Linked DNA regions of Saccharomyces cerevisiae S288C. The gene in region 2 interacts genetically with the main gene of each other region. Each region holds a gene or a part of one and is shown on either strand. Other genes may lie near its edges.

What was found. A genetic interaction does not mean that the proteins touch.
Region 1: mutations in NCP1 (region 2) and JEN1 together harm fitness less than expected from each alone (positive genetic interaction), as found in Saccharomyces cerevisiae (one large-scale study listed by BioGRID).
Region 3: mutations in NCP1 (region 2) and PRO1 are lethal when combined (synthetic lethality), as found in Saccharomyces cerevisiae (one large-scale study listed by BioGRID).

What each region holds. Positions count from the first base shown.
Region 1 is NC_001143.9:20,258-24,886, reverse strand, and holds JEN1 (monocarboxylate/H+ symporter), read right to left. Parts: upstream 2,654-4,629; coding exon 803-2,653; downstream 1-802. UniProt on the Saccharomyces cerevisiae protein: Essential to lactate transport.
Region 2 is NC_001140.6:188,635-193,477, reverse strand, and holds NCP1 (NADPH--hemoprotein reductase), read right to left. Parts: upstream 2,936-4,843; coding exon 860-2,935; downstream 1-859. Other genes in the region: DOG2 (2-deoxyglucose-6-phosphatase), read left to right, coding at 1-673; SRB2 (Srb2p), read left to right, coding at 3,614-3,627, 3,729-4,347; BCD1 (Bcd1p), read right to left, coding at 4,454-4,843. UniProt on the Saccharomyces cerevisiae protein: This enzyme is required for electron transfer from NADP to cytochrome P450 in microsomes. It can also provide electron transfer to heme oxygenase and cytochrome B5. Involved in ergosterol biosynthesis.
Region 3 is NC_001136.10:1,060,703-1,064,745, reverse strand, and holds PRO1 (glutamate 5-kinase), read left to right. Parts: upstream 1-1,954; coding exon 1,955-3,241; downstream 3,242-4,043. Other genes in the region: cleavage/polyadenylation factor CFT1, read right to left, coding at 1-1,394; rRNA-processing protein BFR2, read right to left, coding at 3,515-4,043.

The sequences.
Region 1 (4,629 bases), on a different chromosome or scaffold from region 2:
CTAGAATTGTTTCGAAGTTTATCGTCCGATCTTATTACATGGGGAATACACTATTTAGGGTGGGAAGATACCAGATTGACTTGGATCCAAGGTTAGGGAATGACCTCAAGAGGAAAAAGCGACATCTGTAAGATCGAGGATGCTCCTTTTCCTTTTTTCCCCAAATGGGCCGCAGCTGTGAAGCATATCGTTATCATATACTGCATTTTTCTGCTATCGTTCTATGGATGCGATACGTAATATCTTGATACTTACTTCCTTCTGCAAGATTTCTATGGTAAAAAAGCTTATGTAGTGAAACCTGCACAGGCCGAGCTTTGATTGTGTATAAGCATACATCCCCCTTCAAAGGTGAAAAGTAATGTCGAAGTATATGGCTATCCAGCCGCACACTGTCCTCAGGGCCCATTCAGTGCAAGAACCAAAATGCTATATTTCTGAACGGCCTAAAATGAATAACGAAATAATTTTTTCCACTTTTACCAATTTGCTGTTCGACTAACATTTCTTTTCTATTACTATTATTGTCTTATAGTGGCAAAAGCAAGCAAAACAATTTAAATTCTTAGACACAGTAATCTACCATCTTGCTAGTGTTAACGGCTGTTATGTTTCTTGCGGCGCTATTTAAATGTACTTACATTCTAATCCCTTCGAGAAAATTAATACAACAAAAATTCTAACTTTAAAGTATGTCGTATATCATGTCTTTTATGTAATGTTATAAAGGCTATAATATGAATATATGTGAAATGCAGTTACATAGAGAAGCGAACACGCCCTAGAGAGCAATGAAAAGTGATTAAACGGTCTCAATATGCTCCTCATATGTCTTTGAGACGTTCGAATCAATCATCTTCACTGAAGCACATTCCGTCTTTTGTTCAACAATGTCACTAATCGAAAGACCATCGGCTTCGTATTCTTCCACTTGGTTTATATATTTCTTCATAACAGGAGAGGACAAATCACGATGGAATTTCTCATGGCCAACAAAAACACAAGCAAATGTGAAGATGAAAACAGAACCAGTCAAGATAGCCATAACTTTGGCATAATCTTCTTTAATCACAGCACCAGAGGCATCTCTTTCTAATGGGTATCTATCAGCTAACTGTGTCTCAATCGTGGAAGCCGCTGCAGAAGCTAGATTACCTAGCTGGTAAGATAAACCGGCAACCAAAGCCCTTGCATCAGCAGGGGCCAACTCTGCAAGGTGAATGGGCAGGATACCCCAGACACCAAAGACACAAAAATATAACATGAAACCGGCACCTAATATAGCCTTTTCGCTTCTCAACATAAATGCAGGGTAGGTGAAGCAACCACCCATTGTGCATGCAATCAATAGGCCTAATCTTCTTCCAGTAACTTCCATGAACTGTCCAAATATCATACCCCCACAAATAGCACCGATGTTGGTAACCACTACAATGACAGTGACAGCATCCTTGGATAGGCCTAATTGGGCACGCAGCATGGTTGGCAACAAGTCTTGAGAAGCATGAGTCAAGTAATTTGGACCCACCAATAAAACAACCAAATATGCGAACAACAACCAGTACTTTTGAACTGTTCTCTTCATGGATACCATCTTTTGTTTAAAGTTGGCTTTTGGTAGAGGCTCGCCACCATTAGCTTTCACTGCGTCACTCAATATTAATTTACGGGCTTTCAAAACCTTGGTGAAGTATTTCGTTTCAGGCCATAACAATCTCCAGAAAATTAGTAGAATTGGTAGAAAAATACTAAACCAAAACAATATTTTCCAGCCATCATCCCTAAAGTAGCCAAAGGCTCTGTAAAAAATGATAGCAAATATGAACCCCATAGCGTAAGCAGAAAAAAATAGACCTGATAGGAACGAACGTGCTTTCACAGGTGCATCTTCAATCGCTGTTGCAGAAGCACATCCGTAAATTCCTCCCATAGCAATACCGGTTATCCACCTTACGCCCAGAAATTTCTCGTATGTGTCACACCATGGAGTACAGAGTTGTGCAATGACAAATAAGAACAAACATGTAATGTACGGCCACTTTCTGGAAGACTTATCTGTCCATAAACCAAATATGACAGCACCTGCTGAACGAACAAATAACACCAATCCCAACCCCCAGGTGATGTCCTTGGTTGGTCTGTCATATAGTTCAGCCAATGGAGCGACTGATACTGAAACGCAAAAGAAGGCCCAAGCCGCAGACAACCACGCAAAATAACCCATAAAAAAATAGTTCCAATTCTGCCATGTCATTTTGCGCAGTTCGGGTATGGGATTGACATTCTCCCAAGAAAACTCGTGGATGTGCAGTAAGGACGTAAATCTCGTTAAAGCATAACTTTTAATGGACGCAGCGCTTAGGTTTGGCTTATCCTCTTCATCTTCCTCATACTCTACACCTTGATCCTGGCTATAAACTCTTTCCAGCAATTCATCATCTCTTGTATCCTGAATTGATTGTGCAGGCAGTGATGGGTTATGGTATAGCTTTTCGTGATCCGGGTTGTAAACTTCCGGCTCATAATTTATAGGGTTACCTTCTCCGTCCACTAGAGGAGGCTCTGCAAATGTACTTGTGTTATAGTATAGTTTTCTGCCAGCAGGTTGTTGCTGTTCACCAGATATTTTCTCATCTGTAATTGACGACGACATATTTTCAGTAGCAGTATTTAATCTCTTTGAGGAAAAACTTTTGAAACTGTTACTCTTCTTCCTTTTAGATCTAAGGGAGAAGGACTAGACAACTTCCAAAACTATTTCTCAACAATGATGTGCAATGTATTTATACATCAAGAGGGTACTTCACTTTGCTGATTTTTTTTTTTTTTTTTTTTTTTTTTTTTTTGGTAAAGGATAGTACCATAGGAGATAGTAAGTGTTACTTAGATCTCCATCCAAATGACCAGGTAACGTTCTAATGCATTATAGTAGAAGGGGGGGCAAAAGACCGTTAAGTGAAGAATTATGGACGTCCGGATGGTGTGCAGAAGCTTACAAACTAACTTCCTGGTGGAGAATAATGGTAGGCTTGGCGGCTCTGAGATGGAGAAATAGTTTCAAGCCGCGCGCTCAATAACTTCCTCGATCACTGACTTTCGCACCCATCTGGGAACGGTACGGCGAATAGTCTTCATTTAATTGGAGCTGATCGAAAATGCTTGCTGCCGCTTCAGCGTGAATGACGCAGGTGCTGCGTTTGTCCTGTGCCTCCTTTTTTTTTTGGAGTCCGTTTGTCGGCTATTAGCTCTTGGGCTCTAACCCCAGGAAAAGGAAAAAGAGAAACACGCCGGTCTAGTGGAGTAAATTGCGGGGTCAGGATCCCGCGCGGATATCGGCCGTTCAAAGGGTGAAAAGAAGAAATCATTGGAGTCGTTGCGAGTCATTCTTTACGAATCTAATTTCTCCAAATTTTTACAGGTATTCTTAGCCGCCCAAGGTAGCATACAATGACCTTCTATTGCAAAAATGTACAGTGGAATGTAAAAACAGTGGGGACAAACCTGTGGAACACTAAGCGTGGGGGTCCATCCACTTAAACTAAATCGTATTGTTTAAAAGTGTGCAAGCATTGCGATAACGTTCGATTAGACTCTGAATGGAAGACAATGAGTTGATTTTGCTACCAGCAAAAAAAATAATTTATAAACACATTATTCTTGCAATATTTTTCATACTGTGCGTTTATACCTTTTGAAAATTATAGATCCATTTATATATTAATTAACATCCGAAACAAAAGGAAAGTGCGAGGACCGGCCCACCCGATGACTAACGGGAAAGTGGACATGATTTGCCATTTGTACGGGTAATATTTACATATTATTTGATGTGCTTCTTTGGATTGTGTGCAATCACTTACTTCACAGTGTCTATGTAAGAGATGTGAGAGTGTAGCTCGGAAGGTGGAGACATCTCCTAGATCTTGTCTGGCTTCGTTGGGGTAGCCATGAGAAGTTTTCCATTCCCCCGGGTCATGCATGCTGCCCGAGTCAAATAGCGTTTAACTTTGACTCGTACGCCATAATAGGTTATGTTTTATCTTTGGTCAGGGACCCCAGTATTGAGAAAGTAACCTAGGGATGCTACGCCCCAGCTTTACTACGTGGATGATACAGTAAGCACATACATATTGACGGCATCTAATCGTTCTAAACGGAAAAATAGGCGCTGATTTGATCCACTTCGGTTAGGTAACCGCTGATGCCAACGATCTAGGGCCCTTCCATTTTAGGAAAAAGGGTATATACTCTGATGCCCTGTCTGGCCGAACATTCGTATATGTGGATGTATCGTGATCCGTTCGTATTCAATAAAAGTGTAACGATCTCATCTCAAGTCAAAAGTGAGAAGGGAATAACTAAAAAAGAAAAACTGATATTTTGACGTGACGTGGTTTATTAGCAAGTATGTTTCAACCATTCTCAGCGTAAACCCTATCACAATAACGTCTCTATGAAAAGTTTAACATTTTGTCTATCTCGGTTCAATCAGTTGAATAGCGAACCTTATAGCAAATAGCATTTTCAATAAAAATGTGACATACAGACTTCCACTTTTCTTGCTTTTCTCATGCTCTGTGTGATGCTACTGTTACCGCGGCACCACATTTTGGCATACGTCGGGACATT
Region 2 (4,843 bases):
AGCGGAAAGTGCCTGGAAAAAATTATGCCGTCAGCATGGGGTTGATCCTGTTGAGTTATTCAAGCATTCCCATGGTGCAAGATCACAAGAAATGATGAAGAAATTTTTTCCAAAATTGGACAATACCGATAATAAAGGTGTTCTTGCGTTAGAAAAGGATATGGCAGATAATTATTTGGACACAGTAAGCCTTATCCCTGGTGCAGAGAATTTATTGTTATCGTTAGATGTAGATACTGAGACTCAAAAAAAGTTACCTGAAAGGAAATGGGCTATCGTTACCTCTGGTTCTCCATATTTGGCATTTTCATGGTTCGAGACAATATTGAAAAATGTTGGAAAGCCCAAAGTTTTCATTACTGGATTTGACGTGAAGAACGGTAAGCCTGATCCCGAGGGTTACTCAAGAGCTCGTGATTTATTGCGTCAAGATTTGCAATTAACTGGTAAACAGGATCTGAAGTATGTTGTCTTTGAAGATGCACCCGTGGGCATAAAGGCCGGCAAAGCAATGGGCGCAATTACTGTGGGTATAACATCCTCGTATGATAAGAGCGTTTTATTTGACGCAGGTGCAGATTATGTGGTCTGTGATTTGACACAGGTTTCCGTGGTTAAGAACAATGAGAACGGTATCGTTATCCAGGTAAACAACCCTTTGACGAGAGATTAAATAAATAAGGACATCGCAGAAGCACGAATATATAGATAAAATTGTATGTAAAAGCAAAAGTTGAACTGCGTATGATTTCTTATAGTGAGTATGAAATTTTTTTTTTTTTTGGTTATCTAACTTATTTTTCTTTGATACAGATCGTGTGGTTGAACAACCGCGCCGAAGGCTTGATCAGTGGGCTGATTACCAGACATCTTCTTGGTATCTACCTGAAGTCTTGAGCATCTTGATTAGCTCTGTTGCTTCATCAGTGGTAATGGATTTACCACGGGATAAGATGCCAACCAATGCGGTTGACACACCCTTGGCCATACCCTTTGCATCACCACAGACGTAGATAAATGCACCGTTGTTAATCATTTCAAATACTTGGTCTTCGTAATCCTTTAATTTATCTTGAACATAAACTTTTTTGGTGTTTGGCAACCTGGAATGGGCCACGACCATTTCGAACGAACCATCCAATTTTTTGGCGTATTCTGGCCATTCGTCCTGGTACAAGAAATCATCAGTGTTACGGGATCCATAAAACAGTATATGCTTACCTAGCGAAACGTTGTTACCGCCCTTCTTTTGTGATTCGAGGAACGCGACACGCTCTCTGATAAACCCACGGAATGGGGCAACACCGGTACCTGGACCGATCATGATAACTGGGGTGGAAGGGTTGGAAGGCAATCTGAAGTTAGAACGACGAACGTGGACGGGCAATTTGTAATTGGCGAAAAGTTTACGTGGGCCATTTAAATCGTAGTGAACAGGTAGGTTAGTTTCGGCAATGTTAACATTGTTTTGAGCCAATTGAATGTTTCTTAACAAGTTAGTCGTAACACCAACAACTGGAGGAGCATCAGGCAATTCTGGGTTAGGAAAGTTTTCCACAATGGAGGTGACATGGACGGTTTGCTTTTCAGACAGAGAAGAGGAAGAGATAGAGTAGTAACGAGGAGTCATTTGGGGAACTGATTCGACCAAGAATTGCATGGGTACGGTGTCCCATTTGGCGCCATCAGACAAATATTTCAGAGCATCTGCGATGTTGAAATATTTGGAGGTTATCTCGACGGCGAATTGGTCCTTGTCTTTCGAAAGCAGAGTCAATTTTTCCTTGACGTCAGCGTTGGGGGCGAACTGAATCAAAGATGAAAACAATTGTCTGGAGACAGGTCCTGTAATTTCCAAATAGTGTTTAATAGCAGCGCCAATAGTAGTTGGCGTTGGGAAGGGCACTTTGACGGTGGGATCCAGGGGCTTCAAGTCAAAAATGGTTTCAGGGTCCAGGTTGAATATGGATAAGAACTGTTCGACCTTTTCCAATGGGTTGGAAGGCCAAACAGCAAGATGGTCACCAGTGGAGTACTTGATGTTAGAGCCGGACAAGTCAAATTCAGAGTGGATGCAATTACGGTCATTGGAAGAGAACAGTTCGCGAGATTTCACGATGGGTGCAATATACGGTTGAGACAAATCGAAGGGACCCAATTGGATGCCGTCTGCGTTGCGGTTCAACTGATGCGAGGGCAAATAGTGAGCAGAGGGTTCACCAAGCGACATGGAGTCAGTGATTTCGTTCAACACAGTGTACTGGAATTGAGAGGTGAACTTGGCTTCCTGTTCGTCCAAATGCAGTTCGTCTTTCAAAACCTCCAGGATGGAGTCCTTCCAGGCCATGTAATCTTCGTCTGTAGTTCCTGCACCATCATCAGCTTCACCGAGCTTGCCTAGTCTGATAGCGCCCGCGGCGGAGAGATGCTTCTCGGCCTTCTTGGCGGCACCATTAAAGAATTCATAAGTAGAATTTCCCAGACCAAACATATTATACCTCAGGTTCGATAGTGCACCCGCTTCCGCATTACAAATAAAGTCTTCAAAGTTGACCGCCCCGTCGGGGAAGTCTCCTTCACCATATGTAGAGATAAAAATCGAGACTATGACGGGCACATCGTTTAGCGACTCAAAGTCGTAGTTCTCAACATCTGCGCACATCACGTTTAGGTTGAACTTGGCCACCAGCTCCTTGGAAAACTTTTTGGCGTAATCCTCGGCAGTCCCAGTCTGCGACGCATACAACACCAAGTAGTTCTTGTTGTTTTCGGTCACCACCTGAGCAATGTCTCTGTTGCCCGAGCTGACAGCTGTGATATCTCCGTCATCGGACATCAGCAGTTCCTTGATGGAGTTTCTCTTTACGTACAGTAGCACGGCAAGCACTAGCCCCGCCAGGACAGTGAAGTCGGTGTTGTCTATTCCAAACGGCATGATATGTGCGACAGTAGATCACTTGAAAACCGCGGTCGTTGTCTAGCGTAGCGGTGACCACTACAGGAACGCAAACTTAAGCTACATTGTTCACCATATTATACTATATATATAACCTCGCGCTGAGCTTTACAGGTGCGTTTGTCCTCGAAGAACGAAAAGCAGCCCGAAAAAAAAATGCAAAACGATAAAAGCTGGCTGGAGAACAATAGCGGGTTGACCGCTAAACGAGCACACACGTGATGTGTCGTGAACTGTGATCGTGGTAGTATGATGCTAGTATGTAGTGATGGCTGCATGGTACCAGCGGTGACGTTCGGTAGACTCTACTCTCCTTTGTTCCCCCGGTGTGCCATCTTTTGAGTTTTGCGTGCGTTATCTACTGGGAGCAAGGGTCTGGCTCGTACGCATAGAGGCTGAGGACGAACAGTGTGCGTTTGCAGGCGTGGATATAGAATACATAGCTATATAGATGGGTAGTGCGCATGGGAAAGTGCAATTGAGCGAAGGAAGGGGCAGGTGGACTGTAGATGTCGCCGCGTGATTTTATCGTTGTTTCTCTTCTTGTGTTTTCTTATGCGTTAGTATGCCAGTTTCGCGGTGTGATTCCCAAAGTGAAATTTTACTGGAAGAGCAAATCTTGTAAGTCGGCGCTCGAAAGCACAGTAGCAATCCATCATGGGAAAATCAGCGTATGTAAAGCTGGAGCGTCCTTCGTGGCGCATCGGAATTTCTTCAATTGAACTACCTGTTGCTAACAACAGTTTTTTTTTTCTCTCTTTTATGTATATAGCGTTATATTCGTGGAAAGAGCCACTCCCGCTACACTAACGGAACTGAAGGATGCTCTCTCGAATAGTATCCTGTCCGTGCGAGACCCTTGGTCGATAGACTTTCGGACGTACCGGTGCTCTATCAAGAACCTACCCGCGGATGTCTCCAAGCTCATGTACTCGATAACGTTCCACCACCATGGCCGGCAGACCGTGCTAATCAAGGACAACTCAGCGATGGTGACGACTGCCGCAGCGGCGGATATCCCTCCGGCGCTGGTGTTCAATGGCTCATCTACGGGCGTTCCTGAGTCCATAGACACTATTTTGTCGTCCAAGCTGTCCAACATCTGGATGCAGAGGCAGCTCATCAAGGGTGATGCCGGTGAGACGTTGATCTTGGACGGGCTCACCGTGCGACTCGTCAACCTCTTCTCCTCCACTGGGTTCAAGGGTCTCCTGATAGAACTGCAGGCGGACGAAGCGGGCGAGTTTGAGACCAAGATTGCAGGCATCGAAGGACACCTAGCTGAAATCCGGGCCAAGGAGTACAAAACCTCATCCGACTCGTTGGGGCCGGACACCAGCAACGAAATATGTGATTTGGCGTACCAGTATGTTCGTGCTCTGGAGCTGTGAGTTCTTACGAATGCTTTTTCTTTTTTTTTTTTTCTGTTTGTATATTGCGGTGTATACGTATAGATAGATAGTCTAAATAGTAATCTTCAACCTTATGTATCTCGGCTCATGCAGTGAGGAAATCCATGGATAAGCCCGGATTGTAGTCATCGTCGCTGTCGCTGTCGCTGTCGCTGGCGTCCTGTGTTTCCTTCTGTACAGGTTCTTCTGTCGGTTGAGAGTCCTCTTCAGCGTCTTCCTCCTCCCTTGCATTGTCAATAAACTTGTTCAGTGTACTCGTATGCTCAAGTGGGCGGGGTTCCTGGTGTAGCACCTCGTAGCCCTCTGGTAGGTCAGCCTCTGTCATGGCAACGAATATCGTGGGAAACTCGATCACTGTGGTGTTCTTCAACAATTCTCCGATGCATTTCTCATGTATAGCCAACTCCACCAGTTTTTTTGAATCCATTATATGCGTGGTGTTGTAAGGGAACGTTTTCGTGTAGAATTTGAGCCC
Region 3 (4,043 bases), on a different chromosome or scaffold from region 2:
TCGTCGTCATTGATATCCATCAAACTATTTGTACCTGAAGATGGATTGTGTGCTTCTCTTGTTTCAATGGTAGATTTCAAATTATTCAATCTGAGAACCAAAGCATTTCCTGAACCAAACCCAATAAATAAGTCCATATTTTTGTTTGAATTGGTGGCATTCAAACGTGTTATACATTTTGGATTGGAGTTCTCCTTCAAAAGATCATTGACTATAGGTAGCTTGAAAATATCGAATTTAATCAGTAACCTGCCCTCTGCTTCCATTTGGATATAGTATATATTGGATTTCAAGTCCATAAGTAGTAGTGTTTCGTCATTATTACTTCCTCCGTTTTTGCTCTTGGACGAAGGTATCCAAATTGACGTAGTGTTTTTCTCCCTGAACATAATTTCCAATGAAGAATTGTTGATAATTTTTGTTTTCTGTAACTCTTTATCAGCAAATGAGTTTAATAATACTGTCGATTGTAAAACGCCAGTATTATCTAGAAATGCCAGTTCATTGGTTCCCACAATGATAGCACCATTCGAAACAGGTACAATGGTGTGTAGATCCCAAGGCAGTTCCTTGACAAATGCTATTGTGGTTGATTCAATCTTGGTGGCACTTTCTGCAGGCTGGATATTTAATGTGAGTATAACGTATTGTGTAGGGAGTTTTGAAATGGTGGTGTTTCCTGCCCAAACAAGCTTTGGTTGGTATAAGAGCGCTATCGTTGGTTTAGTAAAATTTTTCAAGAACTGAATATCTATGATATTTTTGGCGCCTTCGTACAACTCACTCGCTACCAATACCACGCTTGGAGCCGTGAACTTGTCACCTAACTTGGTTCTCTTCCTCTTATTGAAAGTATTCGTCCCTTGGGATTTTTGATTCATGCTATGGATTAATTCACTATCGTCTATGTTCTCGTCCTCATCTTCTTCCTCCTCATCGTCGTCATTTTTATTGACATGGAAGGGTAGAAAAGCGATAATGTCATTATTGAACAGTAAGGCACAAGAACTTCCAGGATCCATTCTCAAGGTGGAAATTTTGGCCAGCTCTACCAACGATTTACCCTTGAACTTTCCTTCGTAGTAATGCAGGCTTAGGGTATCGATTGAGTTTGTTAGCGTGTTGAACTTTAAAATAGAGATTTTAGCGACGCCTGTGCATAAAAGCAGGCAACTTAACGGACTGTCTTTTTGGGGAATGAGGCCTATATCGGTGATCAAGCCATGAAACTTAAACTCATCAGTCAAATACAGTTTACCATCCCTAGTAGGCCTGTAGACAGAAAGGATATTTGTTCGCACCACTAAGAGCTCCTCATAATCTGAAGTAGTAAAATGTGTTGCTAATGAATGAGACACAACAGTAGCGTCAAGCACATCATCATATACATTCATAGGGCCAGTAGCTAGAGTAAAAAGCGAATCTAGGTTAGTACCTGATAGTTTTAATCAGTGAAGTGTTCAAGGGACGGTGATCTTCCTCAATTTACATATGATTGCTTTAACGCTGCTCTGTGAAATATGTCACCTCGAACTTACCTTATATTAAGATCACTTACTACGTTGTCTTATTGGGAGCCGACGGGATGAGGAAGCACAAAATGTCACTAATAGGGCTGGTCAGTGGCACAGTGAATCATAATATATCGGTTGAGCACCAGTTAAAGTATGAACATGTTAAATTTAAGACTCTCACTTATCAATGGTTACATTTTGGTCTAAATTTATTTATTTATGACACTATCAGGTACCTTGGTAAAGGAATTGAAAATAAATAGCACCCACACATCGCATGATGGCAGGAAATGAAAAATTACATCAGCGAACTAATGCTTTCTCGATGAATTATTCATCCATCAAAACGGTCTTTCAAGATTAATGTCTAGTTGCTTCAAAGATAGGCATAGTTTAGGTCATTTTATCAGCTACTGTAATATAGTCATAAGAACGCGAAAATGAAGGATGCTAATGAGAGTAAATCGTATACTATAGTGATCAAATTAGGCTCTTCATCGCTAGTAGATGAAAAAACCAAAGAACCTAAGTTAGCTATCATGTCGCTTATTGTCGAAACTGTAGTCAAATTGAGAAGAATGGGACACAAAGTTATCATCGTGTCCAGTGGTGGTATTGCTGTTGGTTTGAGGACTATGCGTATGAATAAAAGACCAAAACATTTAGCAGAAGTTCAGGCCATCGCAGCTATTGGGCAGGGTAGATTGATCGGGAGATGGGATCTTCTGTTTTCGCAATTTGATCAACGTATCGCTCAAATTCTATTGACCAGAAATGATATTCTGGACTGGACCCAATATAAGAACGCTCAAAACACAATTAATGAATTGTTGAACATGGGCGTTATTCCCATTGTGAATGAAAACGACACACTATCTGTTAGAGAAATCAAATTTGGTGACAATGACACTTTATCAGCAATTACTTCTGCTTTAATCCATGCAGATTATCTTTTCTTACTGACAGATGTTGACTGTTTGTATACTGATAATCCAAGGACAAACCCAGATGCCATGCCGATCTTAGTTGTCCCAGATCTCTCAAAGGGTTTGCCCGGTGTGAATACTGCTGGTGGTTCAGGTTCTGACGTTGGGACCGGTGGTATGGAAACTAAATTGGTTGCTGCAGATTTGGCAACGAATGCCGGTGTTCATACGTTGATCATGAAAAGCGATACACCTGCGAATATAGGTAGAATTGTCGAGTATATGCAAACTCTAGAACTTGACGATGAAAATAAAGTTAAACAAGCATATAATGGCGATTTAACGGATTTGCAAAAAAGAGAATTTGAGAAATTAAAGGCTCTTAACGTTCCACTACATACGAAGTTCATTGCTAATGATAATAAACACCATCTAAAGAATAGAGAGTTTTGGATTTTACACGGTCTTGTCTCTAAAGGCGCTGTTGTTATAGACCAAGGTGCGTACGCAGCCTTAACAAGGAAAAATAAGGCGGGATTATTGCCAGCAGGTGTTATTGATGTTCAGGGCACTTTCCATGAGTTAGAATGTGTTGACATAAAAGTTGGTAAAAAGTTACCAGATGGCACGTTAGATCCAGATTTTCCCTTGCAAACAGTAGGCAAGGCAAGATGCAATTACACGAGTTCTGAATTAACTAAAATTAAAGGTTTGCACAGTGACCAAATCGAAGAGGAATTGGGCTATAATGACAGCGAATATGTCGCTCATAGAGAAAATTTGGCATTCCCACCTCGTTGAAACGAACTAAAAAGTTATAGAGGATTCCCTTAATGATATTTCTTATATAAAACACTACCTTTATATTTCCAGGTTAAATAATGACACATTAAGCATGTTTTGTTTTTTTGAAGAATTGTGCAGAGCAGCTGTTTCTTCCTAATCCACATTAGTGTTCTTAACTCAAAAAAAAGGTAGTTGTTAACAGCTACTTTTTGTGATCCGTTAAAATCCTTCTATCTACTTATAAGCCCTAAATTAAATGAGTTGTGCGTATTTAAAATAAATGTATATTCAACCAAAGATTTGGATATCATCGTTTTTAACAGCCTCTAATTCTTCGTCATTTTCTATTCTGGCATGTTGTTCCTCATCCTCATTTTCATTAAAGTTCACTCGTTGACCTAACAATCCCGCAAAGAATTCATCGATTTGGTCGTCTGACCATTTGTATCCGGATGTGATGGGGGCTTCATAATTCGCAATTGGATCTTGAACTGAGTAGTTCAATTTCCTACCCTTGGAAGCCTTAGTATCGATATTCTTCTTTAGCTTGTTGTTCGAACGAGCATTAGTTGAGGTGATTGTAATTGCTGCACTTTCAGAATTGTGAGCGTTGGAAATCTTTTTGTCAATTAAATCGTTTAGTAAAACACGGTAAAAATCTTCGTCATCAAAAACATATGGGTTTTCGGTAATGTCAATGGCATTGTTATCCTTTCTTCTTGGGTCATAGTTTTTCGGGATATCAAGCCCATCATCCGAATTCTCATTGTCATCAACACTATCTTTGACAACGGGAGAAATCAATTCTGGTAGCCTG